4 linked regions of the Sus scrofa genome follow. The protein of the gene in region 1 interacts with the protein of each later gene in a pairwise test. Links are inferred from orthologs where the notes say so. Each region holds a gene or a part of one and is shown in the gene's direction. Other genes may lie near its edges. The genes, in order: MIF4GD, DDX19A, DDX19B and EIF3G.

Region 1 (8,101 bases):
AGAGCTCTCACTGGGTGCTTGAGAGCCCCTGGCCGTGGGAGCCTCCTGGGCAGGAAGCAGCTCTGTCCAGTGCTGATGTGCAGCCACTTCATCGGTTAAGGCTGCATTGGCCCAGTTGGAAGAGCAAGCATGAGGCTTATTCTGTCTTTTTTGTGTTCATTCCTGCCTCTGGCAAGTATTTCCGGGAGCTTGAGTGCCCCAGGCTGTGTTGACGAGAGAACCGAGTCCGTGTCCGTGTCTCCATCGCTTTCTCTCCCCAGGTTCGAAGCTACAAGGGCCTCCTGGACTGCGCCAGGCAGGTGCTGCGAGAGGAGGGCGCCCAGGGCTTCTTCAAAGGCCTGTCCCCCAGCCTGCTGAAGGCCGCCCTCTCCACGGGCTTCGTGTTCTTCTGGTATGAGCTCGTCTGTAACCTCTTCCACCGCCTGAGGAAGGCGGACAGCTAGCCTGGACAGCAGGAAGGGTGGCCTGGCCCCTTGCCCGGAGACGCCCTCCTGAGAGAAGACTCGATCCACAGTCTCGGGTTGTGCTGCGATCAGGTGCTGCCTGGACCCTGCTCCAGGCCAGCTGTCCTGACCACGAAGAGCTGGGCAGGAGCCGTAACTCCACCAGCTCGGACGCCACCAGGAGGGCAGAGGCGTTTCTCCACGCGACAGCATTTTCCTTGGTCTGCGGGAACCTGACCCTGCCCGTCAGAAGCTGGAAGCTGCCACCTGGCACAGACTCTAAGGGCAACAGCTGCCCTCCTGCATGTCTTACCTCGTCTGCCCGGAGAACTCTCCCGGCTCTGGGCGGAGCCGCAGCCCCCGTGTGAGGCAGGGATCCAGCCCTTTCCAGGGTCTGGTCCCCACACTTGACTTCTCTCTCCCACCGACTCACTTAATAGACATCAAGGCTGGAAGCAGGCTCCGTATCTTCTCTCCATCGCCCCATCCATCACATCCTTCACAAAGGAGGAGGGAAGGGAGCCCTGCTCGCCACTTGTAATTTTTTTTTCCTTTTCTAATTTTACTTTTATTTATTCATTTTTTTGTTATTTTCTTCTCTTATTTTTTTTTCCTACTTTCCTGAATTCTATTTTTCTCAGCATTTGCATCCCCCAGGCAGCTTTGCTTTTGCTCCTGGGTGAAGAATCCCAGCTGCGTTGCTCCTTTTATAAACCCAGCCAGGCTCAAATCTTCATGTCTAGAAGGCATCATTGGGCCTTCCTGTTGTGGCTCAGCAGGTTAAGAACCCAACTAGTATCCGTGAGGATGTGGGTTCGATCCCTAACCTCGCTCAGCGGGTTAAGGATCTGGCATTGCCATGAGCTGTGGTGTAGGTCACAGATGTGGCCAGGATCTGGCGTTGCTGTGGCTGTGGTGTAGGCTGGCGGCTACAGCTCCCATTAGACCCCCAGCCTGGGAACTTCAATATGCTGTGGATGCTGTGGGAGTGGCCCTAAAAAAAAGCTCATCATCACTCACTTCTCTCTCTGGGCAGGCCTGGCCCCAGCCTGTGGGCCTTGAGGGAAAGCAGATACTAAGCAGCCCTGCAGACTGGGGGGATGTGCTACGGGGAGGGGGTGTGGGTAAAGGCAGCACCCCTTTTCCCTGGTCTACCGGGGATCACCCCTCTTTCACTGGGGGGCTGGGTCAGCTCTCCTGGGTGGGTGGGAGCCTACAGCTGAGCCACTGGGCAGCCGCTGCCTGCTCAGGCTGCTCCTCCTGGGTCCAGCAAGGCGTTGTGTGCGTCCTCTGTAATCCCAGAAGGAAGGGGTTGAACAGGCAGCCTGGTGCGAGCACAGCTGGTGCCCTGGAGTCTTCAGGGCACAGGGGTTTGAGAGGTGAAGAAAATCTACAGAACATAACCACCACCTCCCCCCCAGGTCTCCTCACGCCCAGGCCCCCAGGGGAGCTCGGCCTGAGGGGTTGGCCCTGCAGAGGGAGCCCCACGCTGGCCTCACCTCGGCTCTAGCTCCAGCCTTCTTCCTAGCATGTGGTCTTGGGGGCTGTCACGGCTCTCAGTCCCTCTGGATCCTGGGCTCCTGCACGCCGTTACTGCTTCATCTCTGGTCTGGGGTTTTGTGATGTGTCTGGGACCCAGAATCCTGAAGCTGTCCTGCTCTTGGCAGCTGTGGCTGGGGGGCCCCCACACCCACAGGGGTTTGGCAGTCAAGGCTTGGGGCTACAGGGAGGCAGCTGCCTGAATGTATTTTTTATGAAATTCCATTGAAGTGAACTTGATTCTGAGATTCTGCTGAGACTGTCTTCCTTGTTCATTTTCTGCTGACCAGCTTGACAGGAGAGAGCTTTGGATACAGAAAACCGCCATGGACACTTCTTGTCTAATCGATGGGACAAGGCAGTTCTTTGCCAGCCTCTTCTGTGTGCCCTCCTGCAACCCAGGGCTGACCTCAGGGGTGGCCCTGTCTGGACTGCTGCGCCCCGTGCCTCCCCCCAGCCCCAACCAAGACAGACTGAGCCAGGGGGCTTGCGCAACCTCAGGGTCACTCCTAACACCTCCCCTCTGCAAGCTGGCACCTGGGACCCTTTCTCTTGGGTTAGCCCATTGATTTTCAACTAGTTTTACCATTAAATAGCGTGTGTATTTGGAGTAGGAGAGGGGCTTAATGGGACTCGATCCGGCCCTTACCACCTTCCCGCTCTCACCTTGAGAGGTGGGGTGGGGGTAAAAGTGCCACCACCTGCGAAGTCCTGCCCCTCCAGCCATCCTCTCGGCCCTCCCACCCCCCGGGCTGAAGGCCACGCCCCCCGCAGGCTCCTCCCACACCGCGCGGCCAGGCGAGTCTCCTGACCCCGTTTTAACCTGAGCCCTGGTGTGGGGGCGGGGCGAAGGGGGGGGTGCCAGCGCTCAAGACCGAGGGCTTCATGCCGGCCGCGGAGCACATCGGGCCCAACGCCGAGCAGCCGTTGTGGTCCCGGACAGGCCGTGGGAGAACCAGGTGAGGAGAGGATAGCGGCGGTGGGAGCAGGGTCACCGGCGTCCTGCCTGGCTCCAAGCTCCGAACTTCCGGGCGTGCCCGGTGGCGCGGCGGGGGCAGCGTCGTCGGGGCTCCGGCAGGTGGCGTCGGCGAGGCGGCCGGGCCAGGCCCCGCCCCCCTGCCCTGGGCCCCGCCCCGCCCCCTGCACTAGGAAGTGACCTAAGCGGCAGCAAGGCGCGGCCGGCCTCGCCAGCAGCGCCGCGGGCGCGGGCCGCGCGCACCATGCCAGCCGGACGGCCTCTGGGCACGCGGGCGCGGCGCCGGCGTGGCAGGTGGGTCCTGGCGCTCCCACCATCTCTCCACCCCACGGGACACCGGACGGTGGGCTGCGCTGAGCCGCCGGGAAGGGCGTTCCGAGCTTAGGGAAGCTGCCCAGGTCTGGAGAACCCTAAGGCTATCTCCGAGTCCGGAAAGGGGGGACCACTCCTGGAAGATACGTAATCCCGCTCCCCTCCTTAAGAGAAAGGATCTAGAATGGAACTGAGGAACTGGGAATCCTGGGTGGGCCAGGCTGAGTCTCTACCACTCAGGAGGCCAGTTTAACCAGTCCATCCTGGGGAGAAGCTGGCCAGGAAAGGGGGCGTCAGGGCGGCAGAGACGCTTCTGCGCCCAGCCCTCTGGCCAGCCTTATCCCGTGGGTTGGAGGGGTGGGCTCTCTGGACCGAGGACTTTGACTAAGGTTGAGTTGGGGAGAGGGGCTTGGAACTTTGCAGGGACAGAGCTGTCCACAGCGTGGAGCCTGTAGCCATCTCACTCGCTGAGAATCATGCTGGACCAGCAGCTTCCAGACCGGCGTATATAGGCAGGAAAAGTGTCCAATTATCGACCTCTTCATCCCCCCAGCCCATCACACCCCACCTCACCCCAGCCTTGGTGTCAGCTGAGAATAATCCTGCCTCCTGCTGGGGCTGGAGAGTAGAGGTCTCTTTCCTCTTGTGTAATCCCAGAAGCTGCAGGGCTTCTTTAACTGAGCAGCAGGTGCCTGGCCAGCCTCACCACCAGAAGCCAAGCTTTGTGGGCACCTAACCAAGCCCTGAATGCCAAAGACTGCCCAGGAGCACCTGTCCCAAGCACTGGCCAGTTCTGCCCAGGGCACATAGGGCTGGGAACCCTGGCGCCACGCTCCACACCCAAGGCCTCTCCCTTCGCTGCTCCTCCCCAGGTGCTGTCACTCATCCCACCCCAGTAAAGAGCACCTGAGGCTGGATGGTCATGGGGGAGCCTGGTAGAGAGGAGTACAGAATCCAGTCTTTTGATGCAGAGAGCCAGCAGCTGCTGAAGACAGCACTCAAAGGTGAGCGCGGGGAGCCTCCCGAGCCTGGGTCCAGAGCTACACAGAAGGGCCCAGGGGGACAGGACCGGAGGACTGAGCCGTAACGCCCAGGCCTCTCCCTTCAGTTTCTGAGAATGGGAGTCAGCAACATAATTCTGGAACTGGAAGACAAGCCCATGTAGGCCAGTATTTGGGAGTATGAATCATAGAGTCACCCTTCCAATCATAAAGCTTTTTTTTTTTTTTTTTTTTTTGTCTTTTTTTGCCATTTCTTGGGCCGCTCCTGTGGCATATGGAGTTTCCCAGGCTAGGGGTCTAATCGGAGCTGTAGCCACCAGCCTACACCAGAGCCACAGCAACGTGGGATCCGAGACGTGTCTGCGACCTACACCACAGCGCACGGCAACGCCGGATCCTTTAACTCACTAAGCAAGGCCAGGGACTGAACCCGCAACCTTATGGTTCCTAGTTGGATTCGTTAACCACTGCGCCACGACGGGAACTCCATAAAGCGTTTTTTTAAAAGGTTACGTACGCAGGACAGGAGGGCGAGGCACAGAGGACGCAGTTCCTGCCCTTCAAGCCCTTACACAGGACCTGGTTTCTGTGTTGCTGCAAGCAGCTCTCTTCCGTGTGCAGCACCGCCTGACCTGGGACAGAGGATGGAGTGTTCTGCTTGGCAGAGGAGGAAAGTAGTGGTCCTGGACCCGTGCCTTCTGCAGCACTCAGGACAGAAGTTTGCCTCAGCTAACGATTAGCGATGCCTATCACATGCCAAGCTAAGCCTCTGGGGAGGCCCCGCCTGGCCCGCTCTTGTCGGGGGCTCATGTGTGCATTGTGAGAACACTTCCTTTGGTGGACGGCTGTCAAAGACATTGTTATTCAGGGTTCCGTCCTCACCCTTGTGCCAGGAAAAGATGTGTCCTAAAAACCCAGCATCTTCCATTCCCTAACAGCTGCGTAACCCTCCCTGTTTCCGCTGATTGGGCCACCCTAGGAGGCTCATGGCCAGAGCTGCTCCTGCGTGCGGTTTCCTTTCTGTTCTCTGGTCTCTTTAAATGGAAGGGCGTCACGGGAGTGCTCGCTCTTCTGCGAACATCACGAGCCTTTAGAAGCAGGTGGAGGCAAATGTGATAATTAAGCACCCCGAGATTCCCCACCTGTCTTTACCCTAGATCCAGGTGCCGTGGACTTGGAGAAGGTGGCCAATGTGATTGTGGACCATTCTCTGCAGGACTGTGTGTTCAGCAAGGAAGCAGGACGCATGTGCTACGCCATCATTCAGGTTGGGTGGGGTTGGTACAGCAGAGGGGAGACGCTTGGAGGAAGGTGCTTCAGAGGTGGGCAGAGGCCTGGCTAGCCAGGCAGCGATGCACAGGGCTGGCCTCAGAGGCACAAGAGGACAGCAGGGGCCTCAGCTTTAGAAGCTTGGGTGGAATTGTGACAGCACTGTCACGCCCCTTCACCAGCCTTTCTCCCACTCACAGGCGGAGAGCAAGCAAGCTGGCCAGAGTGTCTTCCGCCGCGGACTCCTCAACCGGCTGCAGCAGGAGTACCAGGCTCGGGAGCAGCTTCGAGCACGATCCCTGCAAGGCTGGGTCTGCTACGTCACCTTTATCTGCAACATCTTTGACTACCTGAGGGTGAGGGCCCCCCCACCCCCACCAGCCACATCCCGTGCAACAGAGATGGCCTGTCTCCTGTGCCACCAAGCCAGTGCTGTGGCGCTCACTCTCCCCCGCAGGTGAACAACATGCCCATGATGGCCCTGGTGAACCCGGTCTACGACTGCCTCTTCCGGCTGGCCCAGCCGGACAGTCTGAGCAAGGAGGAGGAGGTGGGTGGCCTGGGCACGGAAGCCTGGGGAGGTAGTCTTTGGCGCAGCTCACTGTCCATGGAGACTTTCGAGGGCATCACTTGCTGGGCAGGAGCTTGGTGGGGGCATGTAAGGCCTGTCACAGTTACAGGGGAAGTTGCTAGGTCTGGAATCCATCCAGAGCAGAGAACAGCCAAAGCCTCCTGGCTCAGAGGCTGCCTTCCCAGTAGGAAGGCCAACCTATGATAGGAATGGTGAGCATCAGCCAGCTGAGGGTACAGGTGGCCCAGAAACCAAATAGGGGGAGGGGTGGGGAGTAGGATTAAGAAGCAGTTTGGAGGAGTTCCCATCATGGCACAGTGGAAATGAATCCAGCTAGGACCCATGAGGTTGCTCAGTGGGTCAAGGATCTGGCATTGCCCAGAGCTATGGTGTAGGTCACAGATGGGGCTCGGACCCCGTGTTGCTGTGGCTGTGGTGTAGGCTGGTGGCTACAGCTCCAATTAGACCCCTAGCCTGGGAACCTCTGTGCTGAGAGTGCAGCCCTAAGAAGACAAAAGACCAAAAAAAAAAAAAAAAAAAAAAAAAAAAAAAAGCAGTAGTTTGAAGACAGGGCCAGAGTCCAGTCCAGCCTAGCCCACTGAGAGACCTCAGGCAAATCTCTCAACTTGCTCCTTTCACACAAGCAGTGGCCAGGGCCCACGGGGTGCTGTGAGGATGAAGTGGGGAAGCGTGTGTACAGGGCCAACCCTGGTGCCTGGCACACAGCACGTGCTCAGTAAATGGCTGCTCTGTGTGACAGGCTGGCTCTGCCCGGGGTCACCTCCCGCTGCCCCCTGCAGGTGGACTGCCTGGTGCTGCAGCTGCATCGCGTCGGGGAGCAGCTGGAGAAGATGAACAGGCAGCGCATGGATGAGCTCTTTGTCCTGATCCGGGATGGCTTCCTGCTCCCAACGGGCCTCAGCTCCCTGGCCCAGCTGCTGCTGCTGGAGACCATCGAGTTCCGGGCGGCCGGCTGGAAGACGACCCCGGCTGCCCACAAGTACTACTACAGCGAGCTCTCGGACTAGGGCCCCAGACCAGGCTTCCTCCCCAGCAGCGCTGGCCTTCCTCCTACCCACTCCCCAACCTGGCAGTGGGGTCCTTGTCTCACCTTCCAGACTTTCAAAAGCACTCAAGACGTTTCCCACTCACACGGTGGTGCGGCCCTGAGCACCTTCCCTCCCTGACCCCAGGACGGGAAGACCCTACACACCTGCCCCAGTCCCATCAGCCTTTCTCTCATCCCCTTCAACCTGGACCAGGCAGAGAAGGGCAACTCCTGACAAGCACTGCACTAACCATCACTGCAACAGCTAGCTTGGTGCCTCAGTTCCCCATCTGGAAAATGGGGAGCCATCGCCATGGGTGGGGTGCTTTGGGGTATCAAAGGGAGAAGCAGAGCACAAGTCACACTGCTTTTTATACATTTTGTACAAGGATCACTTTGGAACCAAGCACCCTTCCTGCCGCTGGTTTTAATGAAGGGCACTACCACATCGCAAGCCACACCACTTCAGGATGAGAATTTTCTAATAAACATTTTCTGATACTAAAACTGCTTCCTTTCGTATTGCCCAAAGGTCTGCCCCAAGCTGAGAGAAGAGAAGGCTGGACAAGCCTGTGTCTTGGAAATCCAAGTTGCTATGTCCCCTCTTTGCAAGGAGATGGGGCAGGGAGAGCGAGTTCTAGCCCCCAAAGAAAGGACTCACAGCAATCAACACGCTGCTCCATCGTTCTCATGAGGCCTGCCGGCCCTTTAAAGGGAACTAGACTCTTAAACCCCAGGTGTTTCTCAGCATGGCAGGGGCTCCCATCGGTTCCCACTGGTTCCTGCAGCAGAGAGCGCCAGGCCTCGCCAGCCCCCGGCCGCCCTCTACCACCAGCGGTAGTGGGCCAGCGCGCGGTTGGCCTCGGCCATCTTGTGCATGTCATGCTTCCTCTTGATCACAGGGCCCTGGTTGTGAAAAGCCTCCAGCAGCTCCTGCGACAG
Region 2 (8,259 bases), on another chromosome or scaffold:
GCTTGGGTCACTGCAGAGGCACAGGTTTGTTTTGTTTATCTTTTCTAGGGCCACTTCCCATGGCATATGGAGGTTCCCAGGCTAGGGGTCTAATCAGAGCTGTAGCTACCAGCCTACATCACAGCCACAGCAATGCGGGATCTGAGCCTCGTCTTCGACCTACAGCACGGCTCTTGGCAACACCGGATCCTTAACCCACTGAGTAATGCCAGGGATCGAACCTACAACCTCATGGTTCCTAGTCGGATTTGTTAACCACTGCATCACGATGCGAACTCCGAGACAGGTTTGATCCCCAGCCCAGCACAGTGGGTTAAAGGATCTGGTGTTGCAGCTGCAGCTCAGATTCTATCCCTGGTCTGGGAAATTCCACAAGCCAAGGGCACAATTCTCTTTACCCCTGATGTTCCCTATTAGTAATTTTCCATCCATTGCCCTGCTCCTTGGCTATAAATTCCCACTTGTCCATGCTGTATTTGGAGTTGAGCCTAACCTTCCCCCCCCAACACAAAAATCCCATTGCAGTCATCTTTATACCTCTGGCGATGGTCCTGAGTAAAGTTTGCCTTATCATCTTTAGTAAGTGTCATCAAATACTTTTTTTTCCTTCAGAAATTCCACATCCTTAGCAACATGTGGCGGGTCAATCTTTAATTTTGGCCATTCTAGCCAGCGAGCAGTGGTATCTCATTACGACTGAATTGCATTTGCTTAATAACTAATGATTTTGAGCTACTTTGCTTGTGCTTACTGATCACTTACTCTCGTCTAAAGTGTTCAGGTCATTCATACATTTTGACATTTTGACATAGATGTTGCAATTGGGAGTGTGGACACGGAAGCAGCCTAAATGTCCATCAGCAGAGGAATGGATAAAGAAGACATGGTACAAACATACAATGGAATATTACTTGGCTATAAAAAAAATGAAATAATGCCATTTGCAACAATCTGGATGGACGTAGAAACCATCATATTAAGTGAAATTAGTCAGACAGTGAAAGACAAACATCAATATCACTTATATCACTTTATAAAAAAAGGATAAAAACAAACATATTGCGTAACAGAAACAGACTTACGGAAAAACTTATGGTTACCAAAGGGGATGGGGTGGGAGGAATGGACTGAGGATTTGGGTTTGGCATATGTACACTAGGTATATGGAATGACTGGTCAACAGGGACCTGTTATACAGCACAGAGAACTCTACTCAGTATTCTCTGATAACCCGTGTGGGAAAAGAATTTGAATTTGAAAGAGAATGGATATGTGTATATGTATGACTGAATCACTTTGTTGTACAGCAGAATTTACCACAAACGTGCAAATCAACTATACTTCAATAAAACTTTTTTTTAAAAAAAGAATCCAACTGCAGCAGCTCAGGTAGTTGGGAGGAGCAGGTTGATCCCCTGCCCTGCCCAGTGGGATGAAGGACCAGCATTGTCACAGCTGCAGCACAGATCACAGCTGTGGCTTCGATTCAATCTTTGGCCTGGATGTGCCACAGGTGGGGCCATAAAATAAAAAAAGAAAGAAATGTGTCCTAGAGTAATACATAATTTAAAAAATGTTATGGCCTCACTCCCGCATATAGAAGTTCCTGGGGCAGGGACTGAATCCCAGCCACAGCTTCAGCATCACAGGATTCTTTATCCCACTTGGGCCACAGTAGTAACTCCTAATGTTATATATTTTGAACTAAAATCATTTCGTTTGTTTGTTTGTTTTTTGTCTTTTTTCTAGGGCCGCTCCTGCAGCACATGGAGGTTCCCAGGCTGGGGGTCTAATCGGAGCTGTAGCTGCTGGCCTATGCCAGAGCCACAGCAACAGCAACGCGGGATCCGAGCTGTGTCTGCGACCTACACCATAGCTCACCTCAATGCCAGATCCTTAACCCACCGAGCGAGCCCAGGGATGGAACCCACAACCTCATGGTTCCTAGTGGGATTCGTTAACCACTGAGCCACGACGGGAACCCCTAAAATCTTTATTAGTCTATTCAACCATACATTAAAAAATATTTATTGAGAGTCTACCAAGTACCATGCACTTTTCCAGCTTCGTTAGTCAGCTGTGACAGATAAGAGCTTTGCCTTTGTTTGAAGAGTTAACATTTTAGTGGGGAGAGGCAAAAAGTAAACTGGAAACAAGATGATTTTAGATAGTGTGGAGACGTTCAATGAAGTGTTGTCAATTAATAACAGGACATGGGAAAAAACCTATATCCCATAAGAGGAGTAGAGAAAGGAGAGTTAGGTAATTTATGTGCTGTGAGACTGATGGAATATAACGACATTAAATCGATAATTATGACATTAAAAATACTTCGCCGGTATAGAAAAAGTCAAACTTAAAACCGTGTACTTTGTTTAGGACTATGTAAAACACCTGTGCTATGATGCACATGTACAGAAATTAGAAGGACCCAGGAGAAAAAGAATACGCTGTTGTACTTAGAATAGATTTACAAGGAGATCCTGCTGAATAGCATTGAGAACTATGTCTAGATACTCATGTTGCAACAGAAGAAAGGGTGGGGGAAAAACTGTAATTGTAATGTATACATGTAAGGATAACCTGACCCCCTTGCTGTACAGTGGGAAAAAAAAAAAAAAAAAAAAAAGAATACGCTGTTGTATTTTTTTGTGGTGGCATTATGGGGGTTTAAAGGCTTTTGCTTCGCTTTGGTTTTCTCTTACGCTTTATCTCGTTCGCACAGCAGAAACTGGTATGCTTCTAGGATTTTCCTTTGAGGAAAGCTTTACAGCTCAGAGACTAAAATATCTGTCATGACGCATGGAAGACTTAAAAAATAAAACTTACGTTATTTCAGTGTGACAGAGGGCAAAGAAGTGAAGGCTACAGGTTTCACTCCATACAGCTTAGGGCTCTTAAAGCACCAAGAGCTTGCTTCTTTGGAAACCGGCGGAAAAACATCGAGTTTGTGTACCAAGCCTGGCGGGCGAAGCCAGGGGAGAGGCGCGGCGCGCCGTGGCGCGCAATGGTGGCGTCTGGCGCCGGGCGGTAACTGACGTCACCTTCGCGCACCGCCGCTTCCGGTCCGCGAGAGTGTGGTTCTCGCGCTCCAGAGGATTAAAGTCTGGTGTTGCTGCGCTTGCCGTGGTTGTTTTCGCGTGTCGGCCTTCCAAGTCCGGGACAATGGCCACAGACTCGTGGGCGCTGGCTGTGGACGAACAGGAAGCGGCTGTGAAGTCGGTTAGTGTCTTCAGCTCCAGTAGGGGCGAACGTGACAGGGTAATAGGGCCCAAGCAAACCCTCTTTGGAGTCCAGGGAGCTCCCTGAGTTGGGCAGGCCCGTGGCCCACACACCCCTAAGGTTTGCTGTGGGGAATCTTAGGCCTGATTTTCGGCTAAGGCTGAGAGACTCATATGGAGCCTTTTCTCTTGATCTGTGCCAGTTAAAGACTTTCATCCTATGGCAAATCTATCCCTGGTAGTATGCTCTTTCCTGCATTGCACATTCTTCTAAGTGAGGATTGTAAGGAAAAGGCACATTTAGATGCTGATTCTTTTTCATGTGTTTTCGGAGTGATTCTGTGCTACTCTTACTAACGTTTTTTAGATGTGTGCTTAATACTGTTGGCATTTTGTAGCACTTTGCAGAATAACAGATTCAGCTTTATATTTAGTGTTTCGATCTGTTGCAAACGTTGGGGGAAGGCACTACAAAATTGTTTCATTGGTGTATGAAGTGACGTTTAATGTCATTACTGGATCTTTGATTAATGAAAGTCCATTCAACGGGAAAGTAATTATAGTTTAGAAACTGTAACTTTATGTTCTTATCTCTAAGCTACATCTGTTTAGTGGTAATGGACTATTGATTTTAAGAATACAGGGTTGTCTGATTGTTTTTGTTTTTTGTAGTCTGAAATCTTATGTAACCTTTTAATGTATAAATTACATTTCTTCTCCAGTCATCCTTTATTGCTTTGGGAGGATTTTCAGTTTCTCAGCAGAAAGTTGAAATGGACTAAATCCAGGAAAGAAGCTTTCAGTCTCGTTAGGAAGGCTAGAATGTGAGAAGTGCTGTGAAAATGGTGAGAAAAATATAATAAATGAACTCTGAGTGGGGAGAGAATGTTTATGAGTAGGAAAATCAGAGAAATTCCTTGTGAAGAAGTTTACGTTTGTGCTGGATAGTAGAGAATAATTAAGATGGAAATGAAAGTAAACAGCCTTTTAGAATGCACATAAGTGCTGGACTTCCATAGAGAACAGAAGTCAGAACTCATTTTTGCTGCAGCTTAAGGCTATTGGGTTGTAGTAGGAAAAGCGTAGAAAATAATGTAGAGAGTGTACTCTGGCCCTTAACTAAGAACTTAAAGAGGACAGCCTTTATTTGGCTGGTTTGGGATTTTTAAGGATACTGACAAGTTTGGATTTGAGAGCTGGCAAGATTTACTGGACTGCAAAGAATGGAATATTAGAAGTGATATCTAAAAGAAAGGAGATAATTGTGGAAGTTACTCTAATAGCCTGGAGATAGAGGGCCAATATTGAATGGTGAAAGTGAAGGTGAGGGGATAGATTCAAGATATAATTGTGGAGGTATAAAGATTTAGAAAAAAGAAGAGAAGGGAGATAAAGGCAAAGATTATTGTTTTCAACCTGGATCCCACAGGTGGTATTAATAATGTTCTAATAACACGATTGGAGGAGTGGGAGGAAGGGCAGATTTGATATGTAGAGTGATGAGTTCAGGTTTGGCTGTTGTGAATTTGAGGTAAGAAGGACAACTTGGTAAGTACCTGTGTTGGGAGTCACCAGGAGGTATCTAGGTTCAGTGATTTCCTAGCGGGGTGGGGGGGGGGGTTAGGGCAGTGAGCTTACAGGACCCAGCATGTAAGTATTCCCAGCTATGATTTATTACAATGAAAAGCAACATTAGCAAAAAGAAAAGGCCCATGTTGCAAAGTCCAGAGGCAACCAGGCACAAGCTTTCAGGAGTCCTCTCCCATTGGAGTCACAAACTCCACTTAATTCCTCTAGCCACAGATTGTAACAATACATATGAGGTGTTGTCAGGGAAACTTATTAGGGACTCAGTGCTCAGGGCTTTTATTGAGGGCCCATCACACAGTCATTCTTTGCCTAGCAGGTGCCAAAATTCCAGACTCCCAATAGGAAAGATGTCATCATGAACCACATGTTTTTATAAACATAGTGAACCCCTTAGCAGTTCTGGGGATGGTAGGAGGCCTCTCAAAATCCAAGTAGCCAGGGGCCAGCTCTGCAAGCTGACTTCCTGAGGATAGCAGTCATACCTGCTGTGTTAACTCTTTTCTGTACAGTACCCATCAGGCATATATGGAAGTGTGGCACTGGAGTTCAAGAGGAATCAGGTCAGATGTACAAAATTGACAGCCACAAATAAATCGAAAAGTAGCATATAGGATATAATTCTGTACTCTAGAGTTTAAATCTCATATTAGCACCAGATCTTCCGTAAAAGACAGTTGACTGAGAATTGGTTTCAAATCTTTTTAAACCTACAATCCTAATGTAGTTGTGGTATTATGGCTAACACAGATATAAACATACTTGGTGTCTGATTTTAACCGCTCTGCTTATTGGGTGGCTGGTGTAAGTTGATGTTTTAAAACATTGTTTCCTAGTAGTTGGGTAAGACCGTCCCCCATTTTTTTATTTTAGACTTGTGTACATTAGCTTAATAAATGCACTTGACCCCTGAGCAGTTTGGGGGTTATGAGCCCCCAACTCACCCTGTAGTCAAAAATCTCCAAATAACTTACATTGCTCCTCCGTATATATGGTCTCAAATCCTCGGATTCAGCCAGCTATGAGTTGAGTAATACTGTAGTATATATCCACGAATAAGTGGACCCTTGAAGTTCAGAACTGGTGTATGAAATAGAAAGGATCAGTTGTAATTCTTGGTATTCAGTTACCATATATCTCTGCTCTTAAGTGTTTCCTTTTATTCCCATTCAGATGAGTAATTTGCAGATCAAGGAAGAGAAAATCAAACCAGATACCAATGGTGAGTAACTACAAGCTACATGTGCATTTCTGCTCTGCGCTCTTAGTGACAATGTGGAAAGGAGCTTTCATTTAGCATATTTGCCACATGTCAGCACCTGATTTGAAAGCAAGTAAATTCAGTTTCATTACTGATCAGGATAGATTAGTTTTCCATATTTTACCTGGCTTCTGACTCCTTAAAATCAAGACTCTGGAGTTCCCGTCGTGGCTCAGTGGTTAATGAACCCAACTAGTAACCATGAGGTTGCGGGTTTGATTCCTGGCCTTGCTCAATGGGTTAGCGATCCAGCATTGCAGTGAGCTGTGGTGTAGGTTGCAGACGTGGCTCAGATCCCATGTTGCTCTGGCTGTGGTGTAGGCCAGCAGCTGTAGCTCCAATTAGACCCCTAGCCTGGGAACCTCCATATGCCGCAGGTGCGGCCCCTGAAAAGACAAAAAGACAAAAAAAGAATCAGGACTCACTATTGGATTGTACAGTCACTGTTCACTTAAAAATGTTTACGTTTTTTTATTTAGGTTTTTTTTTTTTTTCCTTGACTTTTTAGGGGCGCACCATGGCATAGGGAAGTTCCCAGGCTAGGGGTCGAATTGGAGCTGCAGCTGCCGTCCTACACCATAGCCACAGCAACACCAGATCCTTAACTCCCTGATCAAGGCCAAAGATCAAACTTGAGTACCCGTGGGTACTAGCCAGGTTTGTTACCACTGAGCCATGACAGGAACTCTCTAATTTAGTTTTTTGAAAGGTTAATCTGGGTTCAAATTTCAGAAATTATAGGCAGTTGAAAGGCCTCCTTCCTATCCTGGATCACCATTTACCCAGATTCCACTCCCCACCTGTATTAGTTTGCTAGAGCTTTTGTAACAAAGTATCACAAACTAGGTGGTTTAATAACAGAAATTTATTGTCTCAGTTCTGGAGGCCAGAAGTGTGAGATGGAGGTGTCAGGTGGGTTAGTTCCTTCTGAATGTTGTAAGGAACAGTCTAGTCTGTGCCTCTTCCCAGCTTCTCATGGTTTGCTGGCCATCTTTGGCATTCTTTGGCTTGTAGGAATCTCTGCCATCAACACCCCAGTCTTGGCCTTCATCTTCACGTGGTGGTCTCCCCGTGTGCATATCTATGTCCAGAAGTCCCCATTTACTTATTTATTTATTTATTTTTGTCTTTTTGCCTTTTCTAGGGCCGCTCCCTCAACATATGGAGGTTCCCAGGCTAGGGGTCTAATCGGAGCTGTAGCTGCCAGGCTACACCAGAGCCACAGCAACACCAGATCCGAGCTGCGTCTGCAACCTACAGCACAGCTCATGGCAATGCCAGATGCTTAACCCACTGAGCAAGGCCAGGGATCGAACCCGCAACCTCATGATTCCTAGCCGAATTCGTTGCCATTGTGCCAGGATGGGAAATCCCTAACCAGTCATCTTTTGACAGATGGTTGGTTGGTCACATTCTTTTGCAGTTGTAAGCAGTGCTTCATGGCACAACCATATGTGTATGCAAATATAAATTACCCCAAAATGGATATCCATGGTCAAAGGTATATGCATTTGCAGTGTTTATCACTATGTTCACAGTACCCCATCAGTAAAGCATGAGAGTGTTTCCCTATAGCCTCACCACAAAATATTTCATCAAAAAATCTCATAGGTAAAAAGTGGTAGATCAGTGTAATACATTTTAATTTGTGTTTCATGAGTAAGTTTGAATATTTTCATAAGTTTAAAGGAGTTTGTATTTCTTTTTCTATTAAGCTTTTTGTCTTTTTTCTAAATACAGAGAAATTCATACTCTAAGATTGTGATAGGGAGTTCCCATCATGGCTCAGTGATTCACAAACCCCGACTAGTATCCATGAGTACGAGGGTTCAATTCCTGGCCTTGTTCAGTGGGTTAAGGATCCAGCATTGCCGTGAGCTATGCTGTAGGCCAACAGCTGTAGCTCCCCTAGGCTGGGAACTTCCATGTGCTGCAAGTGCGGCCCTAAAAAAATATACATGTGGTGATAGAAGTTATCAGTACTTCATATTTTAACTCCAGTAGAAGCTGCTAATGCTTCTACCAGTTTTGTTTGTCTTTTGACATTTTTCTTGTGTATTTTTGCTCTGCAAACATTTTTACATAGCCAGATGTTTCAGTCTTTTACATGATTGTGTCTGGGTTTTGAGTCAGTTTTCATAGTTCAGTCTTTGATCCTTTTGGAATTTTTCGTGGTATGAATTGTGAGGT
Region 3 (7,459 bases), on another chromosome or scaffold:
GCGAGGCCAGAGATCAAACCTGCAACCTCATGGTTCCTAGTTGGCTTCATTTCCGCTTCGCCATGACGGGAACTCCTATTTTATTATTTTTTGAGATTGGTATCATATATGAGAGGCACTATTGTTTAAAAGTTAAGGCCTAAGACTTTGTAGCCGGACAGACTTGGATCTGTGTAATGGGTCCATCAGTTACTAGTTATATGACCTTGTGCAAATTGCTTAACTTTTCTGTGTCTTTGGTTTCCACATCTGTAAGATGGGGATAATCATAGCACCTGCCTGAGTTATGGACATGCCTGAAATAAGTGCTATATAAGTGACAGCTATTGTTATAGTTGTTATCTATAATCCAGTTTTGTTGCAGGAACCTTTTTTTTTCCTCATTTTTTAAAGTTTTATTTAAGTATAGTTGATTTACGATGTTGTAATAATCTCTGCTGTACAAGGAATCTTTTAAATTACTTGTCCATATTGTACCTGGTTAAGTTTTGTGAATCTGTTTAATCACACACAGGTATATTATAATAGCTCCCAATATTCTAAAACTGAACAGATGAGTGAAGACCGTTGTTTCCTTTTGCCTTGTGGAATTCCTGACAGGTGACTGTGACATGTACAGTGCAAGGTTCCTATATTTTAAGTATCCATCAAGCTCTGTTTCTTAGTCATTTTAAATAAGAAAATATTGGATCCTATTTATGTTTATTTCCTCGTTCCCCTGTGGTTCCTCTTTGTTCCCCATATTCCTTCAGAAATTTCAATTTAGAGGAGGGCAAAGAATAGAAAACTCTGATGATAAGACTGTGTGTCCCATTTCACCATTGTGCCTAAGGCATTCCTTATTTGGTATAATTCCCTTACCATTAAGTCTTCCTCCTTGTGTCTCAAGAATCCTTTCTCAAGTATCTTTTGAAGAAAATGCAATGTAACTATATAGTTTCCAGTTATTTTAACATATCTTAAAAACTAAAATAATTAATGGCATTGAAAAATGTGGATATTATAAGGTGGGTGTTTTGGCTTTTTTGCCTTTTGGTTAGTTTTTTGGATTACAAAGTGGTTTCCAGTGAAGTTGCAAAAGAAATTGGTTTCTCTTTTTTGATTCAAATAAACAGAGCAGGAATTCCCATGGCGCAGCAGAAATGACTAGGAACCATGAGGTTTTGGGGCCTGGCCTCACTCAGTGGGTTAAGGATCCGGCATTGCCGTGAGCTGTGGTGTAGGTCGCAGACATGGCTCAGATCTGGCATTGCAGTGGCTGTGGTGTAGGCTGGCAGCTGCAGCTCCAATTGGACCCCTAGCCTGGGAACCTCCATATGCTGTGGGTGCTGCCCTAAAAAGCAAAATAAATAAATAAAATAAAATAAACAGAGCAAAGGAAGGAATCTGAACTGGACTTTCCACGTTTCAGTGTTCAGTTCACTGACATTGCAGTAAGTGATGCGAACGAACTTCACTGTTCTGTGCTTTTTGCTGTAGAGACTTTGAGATCCTTACAGCCAAGGGAGATCTGAGTGTGTTTTCAGAATCTGCTGGAAGCTCTCCAGAATTCTGATATATTGTAATCAAAACAACTTGATTACGTTGTTGCTATCAACTTTTTCTATACATCGCATTGTATTTATTTAACTTCAATTTTAATATATCAACAAAAGGATAGTTTGTCCTTTTATCACTGAGTATTAAAATGCTTTGGAAGTTCCCTGATTGCTAGCAGTTAAGGATTCTGCATTTTCACTGCTGTAGCTCAGGTTAGATCCCTGGCCTGGAAACTTCTGCATGCCATGGGTACAGTAAAGAAAAAGAAATGCTTCACAGGAGTTCCCTTCGTGGCTCAGTGGTTAACGAATCTGACTAGGAACCATAAGGTTGCGGGTTCGGTCCCTGCCCTTGCTCAGTGGGTTAAGGATCCAGTGTTGCCGTGAGCTGTGGTGTAGGTCGCAGACGCGCCTCGGATCCCACGTTGCTGTGGCTGTGGTGTAGGCCAGCGGCTACAGCTCCGATATGACCCCTAGCATGGGAATCTCCATATGCCACGGGAGTGGCTCAAGAAAAGGCAGAGACCAAAAAAAAGAGAAAGAAATGCTTTACAGCAAAGGATATTTCTAACTCATTCACACCTCATTAACTCATCTACATCTCAGCTATATCATTTATGTTAGATAGCAATTATTGGAGTTCCCGATGCCGCTCAATGGGTTAATGATCAGCTTGTCTCTTTGGCGTTGCTGGTTTGATCTCATGTTACAGTGGATTATAAGATCCGGTGTTGCTACACCTGTGGCGTAAGTTGCACATGTGGCTCTGATGCGATCTCTGGCCTGAGAGACCATATGCCACTGTGTGGTCGAAAAGGTGGGGGAAAGGTAGCAATTATTACCCTAGGTGTGAGTACTATTAACCCTACTCTTGTAAATATTGCCAGTAAGTCAGTCTGAATATTAGGCTTAAATGAGGTTCACTGGCCAGATGTAGAGGAGTGGTTTAGTGAAGATTAGAATATAGAGAACACCTCCTATACACCATACACTGCTGGTTGCCTCATTCACTCTGTTAATATGTTCTCTGTCCTTCAGAATTAATGAAGGATTGGTACTGCTTTATAATGATCTCCTTTTTCGACAATTTCCTTTCTTGCTAGTCTCTCCAGTGTGTTCTTGCTGCTTCCTCTTCCCTACCCCAACAGACACCAGAAACTCCCTTTTCACTTCCATCAGTAGAAGTGAAATTCTTCCATTTCCAGCTATCTACTCATTAAAACAGTTTTTTCATTCCTCCCCCACTTTCTCCTTTCTTGGACTTAGAGGAAAAGTAGAAATGAACCTCAAGACATAAAAAAAAACCCTGTGCAGGTGGTGCTTTAAGTAATAGCCATTTCAGGCAGTTCCCCTTGTGGCTCAGTGATAACAAATCTAGCAACCATGAGGACGCAGGTTTGATCCCTGGCCTCACTCACTGGGTTAAATTAGGATCTGGCGTTGCTGAGAGCTGTGGTGTAGGTTGCAGATGAGGCTCAGATCCAGTGTTGCTGTGGCTGTGGCAAAGGCTGGCATTTGCAGTTCTGATTCGACCCCTAGCCCAGGAACTTCCATATGCCACAGTTACAGCCTTAAAAAAAAAAAAAAAAAAAGTTCAAATCTTTCTTTGAACTGTCTTTGCTCTATCCCTTCCTTTCTAGTCACACTTCATCCTGCTGGGTATTTTGGTCACAAAGTGTGCCATGATGCTCTAGGCCATTTCCAGTTTAAAAAAAACAGACATCCAGCACAAGGTGACCCAAATGAGGCAGCATACACATGCTGTGGCCCTCCGGCTCAAACATATCCTGCAGCATCACTGATTCCCACCCATGGATGCTTTTCATTGCAGTCCTCCTCAGTGTTCTCTGTCTGAAGAATGAATGCATTTCTCAGAATCTCTTCTAAATTTCCTTGTTTGAAAAATGACAGTGATGGAGTTCCCGTCGTGGCGCAATGGTTAACGAATCCGACTAGAAACCATGAGGTTGTGGGTTCGGTCCCTGCCCTTGCTCAGTGGGTTAACGATCTGGCGTTGCTGTGAGCTGTGGTGTAGGTCGCAGATGTGCCTCAGATCCTGCGTTGCTGTGGCTCTGGTGTAGGCCGGTGGCTACAGCTCCGATTGGACCCCTAGCCTGGGACCCTCCATATGCCGAGGGAGCAGCCCAGGAAATAGCAAAAGACAAAAAAAAAAAAAAAAAAAAAAAATGACAGTGACAACTCAGATGGCATTTTATTGAGAGAATCTGTGTAATCAGGGCATTAAGCAAACTCACAAATTATAATTCTTTCTAGAGATTATAATTAGGAAGTATAGATTTTGAGCTGCTGTATAACCAGTTTTTTTCTACTGCTGTAGTTGTGGATATTTTGTTTATTCTCACTCTAACATGCAGTAAACAAAAGGGGCCCAGCAGAGCAACCTAGCGAATATGTTCTACTGAGAAGGTCATGAGAGTGGGTCACTTCTCCCCAGCTTCACTGGGTGAGGCACTACTGATGCAAAATCTTTTTAAGTAATTTTCCTGACACTCCCCCCCCCCATATTTTCCATTTAGTTGAGCAACTTGCATCTTAAGGACGAGAAAGTCAAACCAGATGCCAATGGTGAGTAACTAAATGCTAGTTTGAAAACAATTAATTTTATGTTTTAACATAACAGCTGTCCGGATTGTCTTGTATTGTGCTTTATATAAGTATGAGGATGCCTAATTGGTTAGTAAACCATGAAAATATATTGTCAAAAATTATTTATTTAAAAAAAATTCCTTAATTTGAGATGAGATAAAGTATGGGCAACCACAGGGTTAACCTACTGTAACTATTCTGAAATCTTATCTACCAAAAATCTAAGATTTACATTAAATTTTATTGATGTATTTAATATTATAGGGGAGAAGTAATATTTACCACACTCTGAATTATCTTTTTCTGTATATTTTTACGTAACCACAACACCGAATATGCATTTCTGTTAATCAACAATTTATACACACAGACTCTTAATGACACTATTGTGTTCATACATTGATAAAATGATTTACATAGATTTCCTCTTTTGGGTATCAAAGTAGTTTTGATCATTGCTGTAATCATCTTTCTATAACATTTGAGAAATATTGATGCTCTAAAGGAAATTAATATTAGTTTTTGAGGTATAGTGAGAGGCCTTGCAATAGAAAAGAGCTGAAATATAAGTAACAGTTTTCATACTTTTGTTTATATAGAAACAATGCAATGTTTTTATCTGTGGCTTGGTTTCCTCATTTATTTTTTTGCTCCCCAGGCCTTTACATTTCTAGTGTCTCATAGAATTTGAATTGTCTCAGCTGTTGGGTATGAGATGTGATTTTGAATGATGGCCACTTTGTGTCTGATAAAGGTGCTGTTGTCAAGACCAATGCAAATGCAGAGAAGACAGATGAAGAAGAGAAAGGTAACATAACCTCATTGGGTATACATGAAGTTCTGCAGTCTAAGAGAACGGAATGTTAGGAGATTTCATTTTTACACTCTACTTGGCTGGACTTTAATGGGAGTCACAGTGCTAATTAAAGTTCGGCATGGTCATTGGTAAAGGAATTCTAATTGTTTTCATTTATTTATTTATTCATTCATTCATTTATTTGCTTTTTAGGGCCGCATCCATGGTACATGGAAGTTCCCAGGCTAGGGGTCAAATCAGAGCTATAGCTGCCAGCCTACACCGTAGCCATAGGAACACCAGACCCAAGCTGCTTCTGTGTCCTACACCACAGCTCACAGCAACGCCAGAATCTTAACCCACTGATCGAGGCCAGGGATCGAACCCTCGTCCTCATGGATACTGGTCAGGTTTGTTAACTGCTGAGCCACGACAGGAACTCTTATAATGGTATTTGGACACATTTAACATGGATAACAAGATGCGAACAACAACAAAAGAGATTCCAGTAGCTTATCTGATATCAAGATACAGACTTTGTTGTTTCCTGTTGTTGTGATAAGATTTTTAAGCTCATAATTTTAAATTTATATTGAGTGCAAACTGGGGAGTGAATATTTGGGTTTTGATAGGAGGAATCAATAATCTCAAGAAAGGACAGCTGTTAGGAATGGAGTTCTGGAGAAGAATATGAGGTCTCAACAGATAAGAGTGTCATAATCTTTCCCTTTAATAAAACAAACTATTTTAATTATATTTATAAAGCAAAACTAACCTATACCTTGAATTAGGAGTCCTGATACAAACACATATTATTGCTTAAAATATTAATGGCGATTGAATTCATATGAACTCATGGTGGATTTCACGGATTTTTTAAAATCTTCACGCTCTTTTTTGCTGACAGAGGACAGAGCTGCCCAGTCCTTACTCAACAAGCTGATCAGAAGCAACCTTGTTGATAACACCAACCAGGTGGAAGTCCTGCAGCGGGATCCCAACTCCCCGCTATACTCAGTGAAGTCCTTCGAGGAGCTTCGACTGTGAGTATTTACTTTCTGACTCTCCCCTTTGGTTTAGATAGAAATCCTAGGCCTGTTATATCTGTTTTTCATCACAACAGAACATTTTTAGCTAACACAGGTTTAATGAAATAATTTAGCTGCTTTGGGCTAGTAAGTAAAATTTCCAGGTAATTTGTAAAAGCTGCACTCACACAGTGCCTGGTTCACAAATCTAGTATTGTTAGTTAGGTATTTGCCTCCTTTCCTCAACCAAAGAGACTATGACTTTCATCTTTAACTTTTCCTAGGAAACCACAGCTTCTCCAGGGAGTCTACGCCATGGGCTTCAACCGTCCATCCAAGATACAAGAGAATGCGTTGCCTTTGATGCTTGCTGAGCCGTATGTGTCTTGATGCAACTTGTTTTTTAACTTTTATTATTTAAAAAAACTACTACATGCTCATTTTAGAAAAATTAGAAAATGGAGTTCCCATCATGGCACAGCAGAAACGAATCCGACTAGGAACCATGAGGTTGTGGATTCAATCCCTGGCCTCGCTCAGTGGGTTAAGGATCTGGCGTTGCTGTGACCTGTGGTGTAGGTTGAAGATGTGGCTTGGATCTGGCATTGCTGTGGCTGTAGTGTAGGCTGGCAGCTGTAGCTCCGATTAGACCCCTAGCCTGGGAACCTCCATATGCTGTAGATGCGTCCCTAAAAAGCAAAATATAAATAAATAAATTAAAAATTTTTTAAAAAGAAAAATTAGAAAACAGTGAAAAACAGTAAAAGAAATAATTTGTAATCTCTACCCCTCCTAAACTATTAATATTTGGAGCTAGAAACTTCTAGATGTTTTTCTATGTAAATTTACATATGCGTATTTTTTCATTTTTCTTTTTTTTGTCTTTTTGCCATTTCTAGGGCTGCTCCCACAGTATATGGAGGTTCCCAAGCTAGGGGTTGAATCGGAGCTGTAGCCACCGGCCTAAGCCAGAGCCACAGCAACGCGGGATCCGAGCCATGTCTGCAACCACACCATAGCTCACAGCAACGCTGGATCCTTAACCCACTGAGCAAGGCCAGGGATCAGACCCGCAACCTCATGGTTCCTAGTCGGATTCGTTAACAACTGAGCCATGATGGGAACTCCTGCATATTTTTTTCTTAGTGGAACCATATAAAAATTTTTTGGTATGATAATTAAATGATAATCTTTCTATATCAGCAAATATATGTACATTTATATCATTTATATACACCATGACTTCATTATGTGGATAAGTAAAATATCTGTCAAATGTAGATGACAAAAACCAAACAGGGGTAGTTCCCATTGTGGCTCAGTGGTTACTGAACTCAGCTAGTATTCGTGAGGACACAGGTTCAATCCCTAGCCTCTCTCAGTGGCCTAAGGATCCAGCATTGCTGTGGCTGTGGTGTAGGCTGGTGGCTGCAGCTCCAATTCGACCCCTAGCCTGGGAACTTCCATATGCTGTGGGTGTGGCCCTAAAA
Region 4 (8,035 bases), on another chromosome or scaffold:
CCCACAAATGGATCTATTTCCTTAAAGACTGCATAGCACTTATATTGATGACAGAATAGCATAACTTGCTCTATTCAACCAACCTGGAATGGACAGATAGGCATTGCCAGTTTTTGCTATCATGAACAATACTGCCTGGATAGCTTATTCTCATATCTTTGTGTGTATTTACAAGTTTTTCTCACAGGCTGAATTATTAGCTGACTCAAAGGAAAATATATATGTGCATTTAAGTTTTAGTAGATATTGTCAACATTCCATCTAAGAGTTTACATAACCTCACATACTAAGAAAATATGGGAGAGTCTTTTTCTCTACATCTTTGCTACCATTGGGTAATAGCAATTTTTTACAGTTTTGCCCATCTGCTCCATTGTTTGGATTTTGTATTTCTTGGAGTAAACTTGAGTGAGGTTGCACAAATGTTTATTGGCCCTTTGTACAAACTTTGCATTTTTATCTGGGCTGCTAGACCACCCTCTTTCTTTTTTTTTTTTTTTTTTTTTTTTTTTTTGGTCTTTTTGCTATTTCTTGGGCCGCTCCCACGGCATATGGAGATTCCCAGGCTAGGGGTCCAATCGGAGTTGTAGCCACCGGCCTACACCAGAGCCACAGCAACACGGGATCCGAGCCGCGTCTGCAACCTACACCACAGCTCATGGCAACGCCGGATCGTTAAACCCACTGAGCAGGGGCAGGGATCGAACCCACAACCTCATGGTTCCTAGTCGGATTCATTAACCACTGCGCCACGACAGGAACTCCTTTTTTTTTCACCCTCTTTCTTTCACTCATTTTCCCAGCCTCCTTCCTGGTCTCCTACTTATTTATTCCTTTCCATTCTATTCTCTACATGCTTCCAGAATAATCTTTCTCATAAGAAAATCTGATTACATTGGTCACCACTCAAAATATGTCAGTGACCATACAGCCTGCAGGGTAAAGAGCCTATCCTCCTTAACCTGATTTAAAAATTCTTTTAGGAGTTCCCTGGTGGCCTAGTAGTTTAGGATCTGGCACTGTCACTGCTGTGGCTCTAGTCACTACTGTGGTATGAGCTCAATCCCTGGCCTGGGAACTTCCAAATGCCACAGATGAGGCCAAAAAAAAGTTATTTATAATCTGGTTCCTGTCCCATCCCAAATGTCCATTAATTGAACACATACTAAGTACAGACACCCCATGGGTGTTGGGGACCCAGAGATGACCCAAATAGGCAAATGTCTGCTTTCTGCAGCTGGCATTCGTGAGCAGTTTTTCTCAACTATTTTTTCATTATTGCTCCTTTCTAGGTGAGAAATGGAATTATCCTTAATTAATTAATTTTGTCTTTTTAGGGCCACACATGCAGCATATGGAGGTTCCCAGGGTAGGGGTGGAATTGGAGCTATAGCTGCTGGCCTATGCCACAGCAACATGGGATCTGAGATGGGTCTGCAACCTACACCACAGTTCATGGCAACATCAGGTCCTTAACCCATTGTGCAAGGCTACGGATCCAATCTGCATCCTCATGGATGGGAGTCAGTTTTGTTGTTTTTTAATTTATTTAATTTATTTATTTGTCCTTTGTCTTTTTAGAGCTGTACCTGTGGCATATGGAGGTTCCCAGGCTAAGGGTCTAATCAGAGCTACAGTTGCTGGCCTACGCCAGAGCCACAGCAACACCAGATCTGAGCTGTATCTGCAACCTGTACCACAGCTCACGGTAACACCGGATCCTTAACCCACTGAGCAAGGCCAGGGATTGAACCCACAACCTCATGGTTCCTAGTCGGATTTGTTTCCGCTGCACCATGATGGGAACTCCTGGATGGGAGTCAGTTTCGTTTCCACTGAGCCACAACTGAACTCCTATCCTTAATTTAAATCAATTTAATCTAATTACATTTAATTTTCCCCTAACAATAGAAATTAAATATTCATAAGTAATATTTTGTCCTGGAGGGTTGGCTTAGGAGGGCTATAAGCCATCACAATGTCTAAGGTTTTTTTTTAAGCCATCTAAGAATTTATTTTGGCTCTCTTGGGAGCCATATCACTCCCGTTGAGAATGCTCTAGGGGGACAGCTGGATTATAAACAAGTAAATGGAAAAGATTATATTAGAGAAGCCAAGAATGTTACTAAAGGAGGGAGGGATTTTCCCCAGTGGCTCAGTGGCTTAAGGATTTGGTGTTGTCACTGCTGTAACTCTGGTCACTGCTGTGGCACAGGTTCCATCCCTGGCCTGAGAACTGCCAAAAAAAGAAACAAACAAAAAAAGATGGAGTTCCCATAGTGGCTCAGCCATAAGGAACCCAACTAATATCCATGAGGATGTGGGTTCAATCCCTGGCCTAACTCACTGGGTTAAGGATTCAGTGTTGCTGTGAGCTGTGGTGTAGGTCGCAGATGAAGCTCAGATATGGCGTTGCTGTGGCTGTGGTGTAGGCCAGCAGCTGTAGCTCCGATGAGACCCCCTAGCCTAGGAACCTCCATATGCTGCAGGTGCAGCTCTAAAAGGAAAAAAAGGAAAGGAGGGAGAATGGTTGAAGGGGCCACTTGACTGCTTGATCATTTTGAATCAGGAAAGCTCTTCCATCGCTTCTCGGCCTTTTGGCTAAGATCAAGTGTAGGAAAGCTCTTCCCAAACAAGGAAGACTAGCTTTGGTTTCTTCAGCTGTAAAATGGAAATAATTTTCTCTCCACAGTTCTCGCAGAATTCAATAACTGAGCTTTATTGCTATTAATAACTTTTTTTTGTCTTTTTAGGGTCGCATCCACCACCATGCAACATACGGAGATTTTAGGGCCTAACCCACACCCGTGGCAAATGGAGTTTCCCAGGCTAGGGACTGAATCATGGCTGTAGCTGCTGGCCTACGCCACAGCCACAGTAACACAGGATCTGAGCCTCGTCTGTGACCTACACCACAGCTCAGAGCAACGCTGCATCCTTAACCCACTGATCAAGGCCAGGGATCAAACCTGCATCCTCATGGATTCTAGTCAGATTCATTTCCACTGAGCCATGATGGGAACTCCTGTTATTAATAACTTTAAATTTTTTAAAAGGTAAATGAATTAGAAAACTATATATAGAACTACCATATGACCCAGCAATCCAACTCTTGGGCACATATCCAGAGAAAACTGTCCTTGAAAAAGATACATGCGCCCATATGTTCATTGCAGCACTATTTGCAATAGCCAAGACTTGGAAACAACCTAGATGTCCATCGACAGATATGGATTAAGAAGATGTGGTATATATACACAATGGAATACTACTCGGCCATAAAAAAGAACAAAATAATGCCATTTGCAGCAACATGGATGGAACTAGAGACTCTCATACCAAGTGAAATAAGTCAGAAAGAGAAAGACACATACTCTACAATATCCCTTGTATCTGGAATCTAATATATGGCACAAATGAAAGTTTCCACAGAAAAGAAAATCATGGACATGGAGAACAGACTGGGGTTACCAAGGGGGAGGGGGAGGGAGTGGAATGTACTGGGAACTTGGAGTTAATAGATGCAATCTATTGCCTTTGGAATGGATAAGCAATGAGATTCTGCTGTACAGCACTGGGAACTATATCTAGTCACTTATGATGGAGCATGATAATGTGAGAAAAAAGAATGTATACATGTATGTGTGACTGGGTCACCTCGTTGTACAGTAGAAAATTGACATAACACTATAAACCAGCTATAATGGAAAAAATAAAAATCATTAATTAAAAAAAGAAGATAAATGAGTTCTTGCTGTGGTGTTGCTGGTTAAGGACCTGGACTTGCTACAGCTGTGACATTGGTCACAGCAGCGGCTGGGATTTGATACCTGACCGGGGAAACTTCCATACGCCACCCGCGGGGCCAAAAAAAAATGGTTAGAACTGCGCCTCTACTCAACTACCTAGTACCAGAGCCCAGCCTCTAATAAGCCAGCGCCTCTACCTCTGTCCACAGGGCGGCACTGTGGGCGCAGCGGCCGGGCTGCTCTAGGCGGCAGAACCGGAAGTCTCGTTCTCCCCACCTTCCGGTCTTTGGCCCAGGCTTGGGCTGCGTGGGGAAGGTTTTAGCTATGCCTACCGGAGACTTTGAGTGAGTATGAGGTCGTGGAGGGGGGCTTGGGAGGCAGATTGGGGGTCCTAGGGCGTATTATGGGGCTCGGGTGCCCCGAGGCCGTGGGATCCGGGCCTCGTCTCACCCAGCCTTCCCCCGCGGCAAACTTGTCCCCGCAGTTCGAAGCCCAGTTGGGCCGACCAGGTGGAGGAGGAGGGAGAGGACGGTGAGTTTGCCCTGTTGCCCAGGATCACCGCAGCCAGCCCCCAGCCCGTCACTGCCGCCTGCTCCAACCCCACCACCCCGACCCTGGCGCCGTTGTCTGACCCAGAATCTCCCTTCACGGCCAGCCCCTGCCCCGCGCCATCCTCATCAGGCCAGCCTGTATCTCCCATTACAGTTGTTCACCGGCCAGTCCCTCTTCCTCCCATGCCACCGTCAAAGTCCTTGGTACCAGCCTAGCTGCTCCCCTGCTCCGGGGAGGAAGTTGTCACAGCCTCTCTCCTGTCTTTGTACTAGCACGGGGATGCCTTTGGCCCGCCCCTGCCTTCATGCCTGGGATCCTCTATGCCGGGCATTGCTGGAAGTCACTACAGTCAGCTCCATGTCCCTGCACGACTCTCCCAGGACACTTCCTGGCTAGTCCCCTACCCTTGGTCCCACCTTTCTTAGCTCCCGGGAGGGGCATCATCCCAAAGGTCCCTCCATTTCAGCTTGGGAGCTCCCCCACCCCCCAGCTGACCCCAGCTCCCCACACTCCCTCTCACAGACAAATGTGTCACCAGCGAGCTCCTCAAGGGAATCCCTCTGGCCACCGGGGATACCAGCCCGGAGCCTGAACTACTACCGGGAGGTGAGTGACAACCTCCCCGCCATCCCTGGGTTGCCTCTTCCCCTGCAGAGTTCCTGCCTGGTCCCCAGTACCCAGGGCTCAGTTCCTCTGTCTCTCCCCCTCTCCCAGCTCCACTGCCACCTCCCAAGGAGGTCATCAATGGAAACATCAAGACAGTGACCGAGTACAAGATAGATGAGGACGGCAAGAAATTCAAGGTGAAGGTTGGGGGAGGAGGTAGATGCCCTTTGCTTGGGGGCTCTTGGACTAGGAGAAAGTGGTGTGTGCTGGGTGGGTTGATGAGGAAGATACCCTGGCCCAGGCCCTCGGAACCTTAAGGAGCAGGAAGCTCAAATTTCTCCCCTCTCCTACCCACAGATTGTCCGCACCTTCAGAATTGAGACTCGGAAGGCCTCAAAGGCTGTGGCAAGGAGGAAGGTAAGACCCTCCTCATCCTGTCTTGGGGCCTCCCCCAGGGCTGACTCAGAGAAAATAAGAATCCTTTTCCCCAGTGCCTGTATTTATTTGGCTATGCCCGGGGCATATGGAAGTTCCCGGTTTACGGGTTGAATCAGAGCTGCAGCTGCCAGCTTACACCACAGCTACAGCGACTCGTGATCGTAGCCACACCTGTGACCTAACCCACAGCTCAGGGCGATGCCGTGTCCTTAACCCACTGCGCAAGGCTGGGAATCGAAGCCATGGATACTGCTGAGCCATAATGGGAACTCCTTAACTGTACCAATTTTGTTGGAGCGGAACTGAGGCCTAAGGGTGTTTGCACTCTGTCGGGGTCCTGAAAAGCCCAGCATGTGCAGGAGTAGGGGGGGTTGTCCGCCAGCAGAAACAAAGCCAAGTCCTCCCCTGAGATGGTCGTAGCAGAAAAAGTCATGGCAGTAAATACATTTGGCACAATTACCTGTGCGCTTTCTCTGCGTTAGACCCAAGCTCTTTGCAGGAAGCGTTTTCCCATTCAGTTCCCCTGGAATTCCAGGGAGGTGGGGGTCCATTGGGGTCCCTTTTCCTGGAGGAGGCAGCTAGGGTTCAGATTGCTTAGCTAGCTCTGGGCCCCTGGAAGTCTGGGTGACCCCTACGCACCCTTGAGCATCACTCCCTGGTAGGAGCTGGTCCGCTACCTGCACCACCCCAGCAGGAGTTGTTGGCTGTGGAGGGGATTGTCCCTGAGCCTCAGTCCTCTAATCTGGAGCATGGAGCCTAGAGCTGCCCTTGCCTCTGGAACTGGTGTGAAGCTAGGGCCTGGCATGCGCTCAGGGAACAGGAACTGTCTTTGTCACTGCTCTGAGGGTCATTTGGGGGAGGCTGGAGAATGGGGTTCAAGGCCCTGGAGCAGACATTGTAAGTCTAGGGAGCCAGCAGAGGGGTCCTGCTTGGCCTTGCTCTGACTTGTCTCTCATCCCACCCTGAGCTCAGAACTGGAAGAAGTTTGGGAACTCAGAGTTCGACCCACCAGGGCCCAATGTGGCCACCACCACGGTCAGTGATGATGTGTCCATGACATTCATCACCAGCAAAGAGGTAAGTAGGCCAGGAGGCTGGGGCCAGTGGCCAGGGTGGTGGCGGCAGTGGCGGGGGGTGCGGCAGTCCCGTCTGAGCTGCCTCTGCCTGCCCTGCCAGGATCTGAACTGCCAGGAAGAGGAGGACCCAATGAACAAGCTCAAGGGCCAGAAGATCGTGTCCTGCCGAATCTGCAAGGGCGACCACTGGACCACCCGCTGCCCCTACAAGGACACACTGGGGCCCATGCAGAAGGAGCTGGCCGAGCAGCTGGGCCTGTCTACTGGCGAGAAGGAGAAGCTGCCTGGAGGTGCTGGGGCCTGGGGACTCGGGGGACAGGGATTGTGTTCACCTCCAGGAGAGTTGTAGGTTGTCACCTGCTGTCTGAACAGGGCCACCGCTGTTGGCAGTTGTCATCTCCCACACAACAGCAAGGCTGCAGCCACAGTCCATGCTTGTGTGTGTGTATGAGAGAGACTGGCGGTGGCTGCTGTGACTGCTGGCGATGTCCCCTGTCCTCTCCTCATTAGGGGCTGTGAGAGCGGCTCGTGTAGGCTTGCACATAATAAATACACTTTGCCTGCAGTGTCTGCATGCACACACCCAGGGCAGACTCACTCATGTGACTGTAAGTTTGAGTCTGGACAGCTCTACGCCCCTGACTTATGTGTGCGACTCATTTGTCACCTGCCGTGTGTGTGTTGGGGGACAGGGGGTGGAACCTGGGGACTGTCCCTATCCCGTGTACCTGTATTTGTGTTCCTATGTTGTGAGACTGGGTGTCACTGTGGGTTCTCACTTCTTGTGCTGCTGGCGGGTGTATAAATGACGTCGGCTTCCCGGATGTGACTTTTAAGTTGTGGCCCTCAGGCCTCGAAGGGCCCAACCGTGTGTGTGGTTTGACAGACGGCTCTTGGGCTGGATGGTGGCCAGAGCTGCCGGCATCCTGGGGCAGATGGGTCCCTCCATCTGTGCCGGGAGAGGCTTGACCCGACCTTGTTGTCCTCCAGAGCTGGAGCCTGTGCAGGCCACACAGAACAAGACGGGCAAGTACGTGCCTCCAAGCCTGCGGGACGGGGCCAGCCGCCGCGGGGAGTCCATGCAGCCCAACCGCAGAGGTGAGGGCACCCAGTTGCCGGGCCGGCGGGGGCGGGCACTTCCCTGTATCCTGTGATCATCCCACGGGCAGGCGCGGCCCCTCACAGACACCTCTCCTTGCCCACTCAGCCGATGACAATGCCACCATCCGTGTCACCAACCTGTCTGAGGACACTCGTGAGACCGACCTGCAGGAGCTCTTCCGGCCCTTTGGCTCCATCTCCCGCATCTACCTAGCCAAGGACAAGACCACTGGCCAGTCCAAGGTGGGCTGGTGGCCATGGGGATGGGGAGGGATCCTTGGTCCTGTCTGTGCCCCATGTGCCCCTGACTCCACCCCCTCCTCCAGGGCTTTGCCTTCATTAGCTTCCACCGCCGTGAGGATGCCGCCCGTGCTATTGCTGGGGTGTCTGGCTTCGGTTATGACCACCTCATCCTCAACGTCGAGTGGGCCAAGTAAGACCCCTGCCCCTCCCCCCACACAGCGTCACTGCTGACACTCAGGCTGGCTGCAGGCCCTGCACCAGGTTAACATT

Evidence for each region.
Region 2: the proteins of MIF4GD (region 1) and DDX19A interact in binary tests that used the Homo sapiens proteins (3 or more experiments, as listed by UniProt). The two-hybrid records come from large-scale screens. The link is inferred for Sus scrofa from reciprocal best matches to the Homo sapiens genes MIF4GD and DDX19A.
Region 3: the proteins of MIF4GD (region 1) and DDX19B interact in binary tests that used the Homo sapiens proteins (3 or more experiments, as listed by UniProt). The link is inferred for Sus scrofa from reciprocal best matches to the Homo sapiens genes MIF4GD and DDX19B.
Region 4: the proteins of MIF4GD (region 1) and EIF3G interact in binary tests that used the Homo sapiens proteins (3 or more experiments, as listed by UniProt). The link is inferred for Sus scrofa from reciprocal best matches to the Homo sapiens genes MIF4GD and EIF3G.

The regions. Positions count from the first base shown.
Region 1 is NC_010454.4:6,044,538-6,052,638, forward strand, and holds MIF4GD (MIF4G domain-containing protein), read left to right. Parts: upstream 1-2,757; 5' UTR 2,758-2,941; intron 2,942-3,129; exon of another isoform or gene 3,130-3,356; intron 3,357-4,142; 5' UTR 4,143-4,186; coding exon 4,187-4,274; intron 4,275-5,428; coding exon 5,429-5,538; intron 5,539-5,740; coding exon 5,741-5,896; intron 5,897-5,997; coding exon 5,998-6,090; intron 6,091-6,911; coding exon 6,912-7,139; 3' UTR 7,140-7,666; downstream 7,667-8,101. Other genes in the region: MRPS7 (28S ribosomal protein S7, mitochondrial), read right to left, coding at 7,985-8,101. UniProt on the Homo sapiens protein: Functions in replication-dependent translation of histone mRNAs which differ from other eukaryotic mRNAs in that they do not end with a poly-A tail but a stem-loop. May participate in circularizing those mRNAs specifically enhancing their translation.
Region 2 is NC_010448.4:13,365,597-13,373,855, forward strand, and holds the start of DDX19A (ATP-dependent RNA helicase DDX19A), read left to right. Parts: upstream 1-3,041; 5' UTR 3,042-3,165; coding exon 3,166-3,222; intron 3,223-5,981; coding exon 5,982-6,030; intron 6,031-8,259. UniProt on the Homo sapiens protein: ATP-dependent RNA helicase involved in mRNA export from the nucleus.
Region 3 is NC_010448.4:13,335,792-13,343,250, forward strand, and holds part of DDX19B (ATP-dependent RNA helicase DDX19B), read left to right. Parts: intron 1-4,075; coding exon 4,076-4,124; intron 4,125-4,803; exon of another isoform or gene 4,804-4,899; coding exon 4,900-4,953; intron 4,954-5,848; coding exon 5,849-5,984; intron 5,985-6,253; coding exon 6,254-6,346; intron 6,347-7,459. UniProt on the Homo sapiens protein: ATP-dependent RNA helicase involved in mRNA export from the nucleus.
Region 4 is NC_010444.4:68,966,594-68,974,628, reverse strand, and holds the start of EIF3G (eukaryotic translation initiation factor 3 subunit G), read left to right. Parts: upstream 1-3,980; 5' UTR 3,981-4,073; coding exon 4,074-4,093; intron 4,094-4,233; coding exon 4,234-4,280; intron 4,281-4,823; coding exon 4,824-4,907; intron 4,908-5,015; coding exon 5,016-5,104; intron 5,105-5,264; coding exon 5,265-5,324; intron 5,325-6,317; coding exon 6,318-6,422; intron 6,423-6,521; coding exon 6,522-6,711; intron 6,712-7,411; coding exon 7,412-7,519; intron 7,520-7,628; coding exon 7,629-7,765; intron 7,766-7,848; coding exon 7,849-7,955; intron 7,956-8,035. UniProt on the Homo sapiens protein: RNA-binding component of the eukaryotic translation initiation factor 3 (eIF-3) complex, which is required for several steps in the initiation of protein synthesis.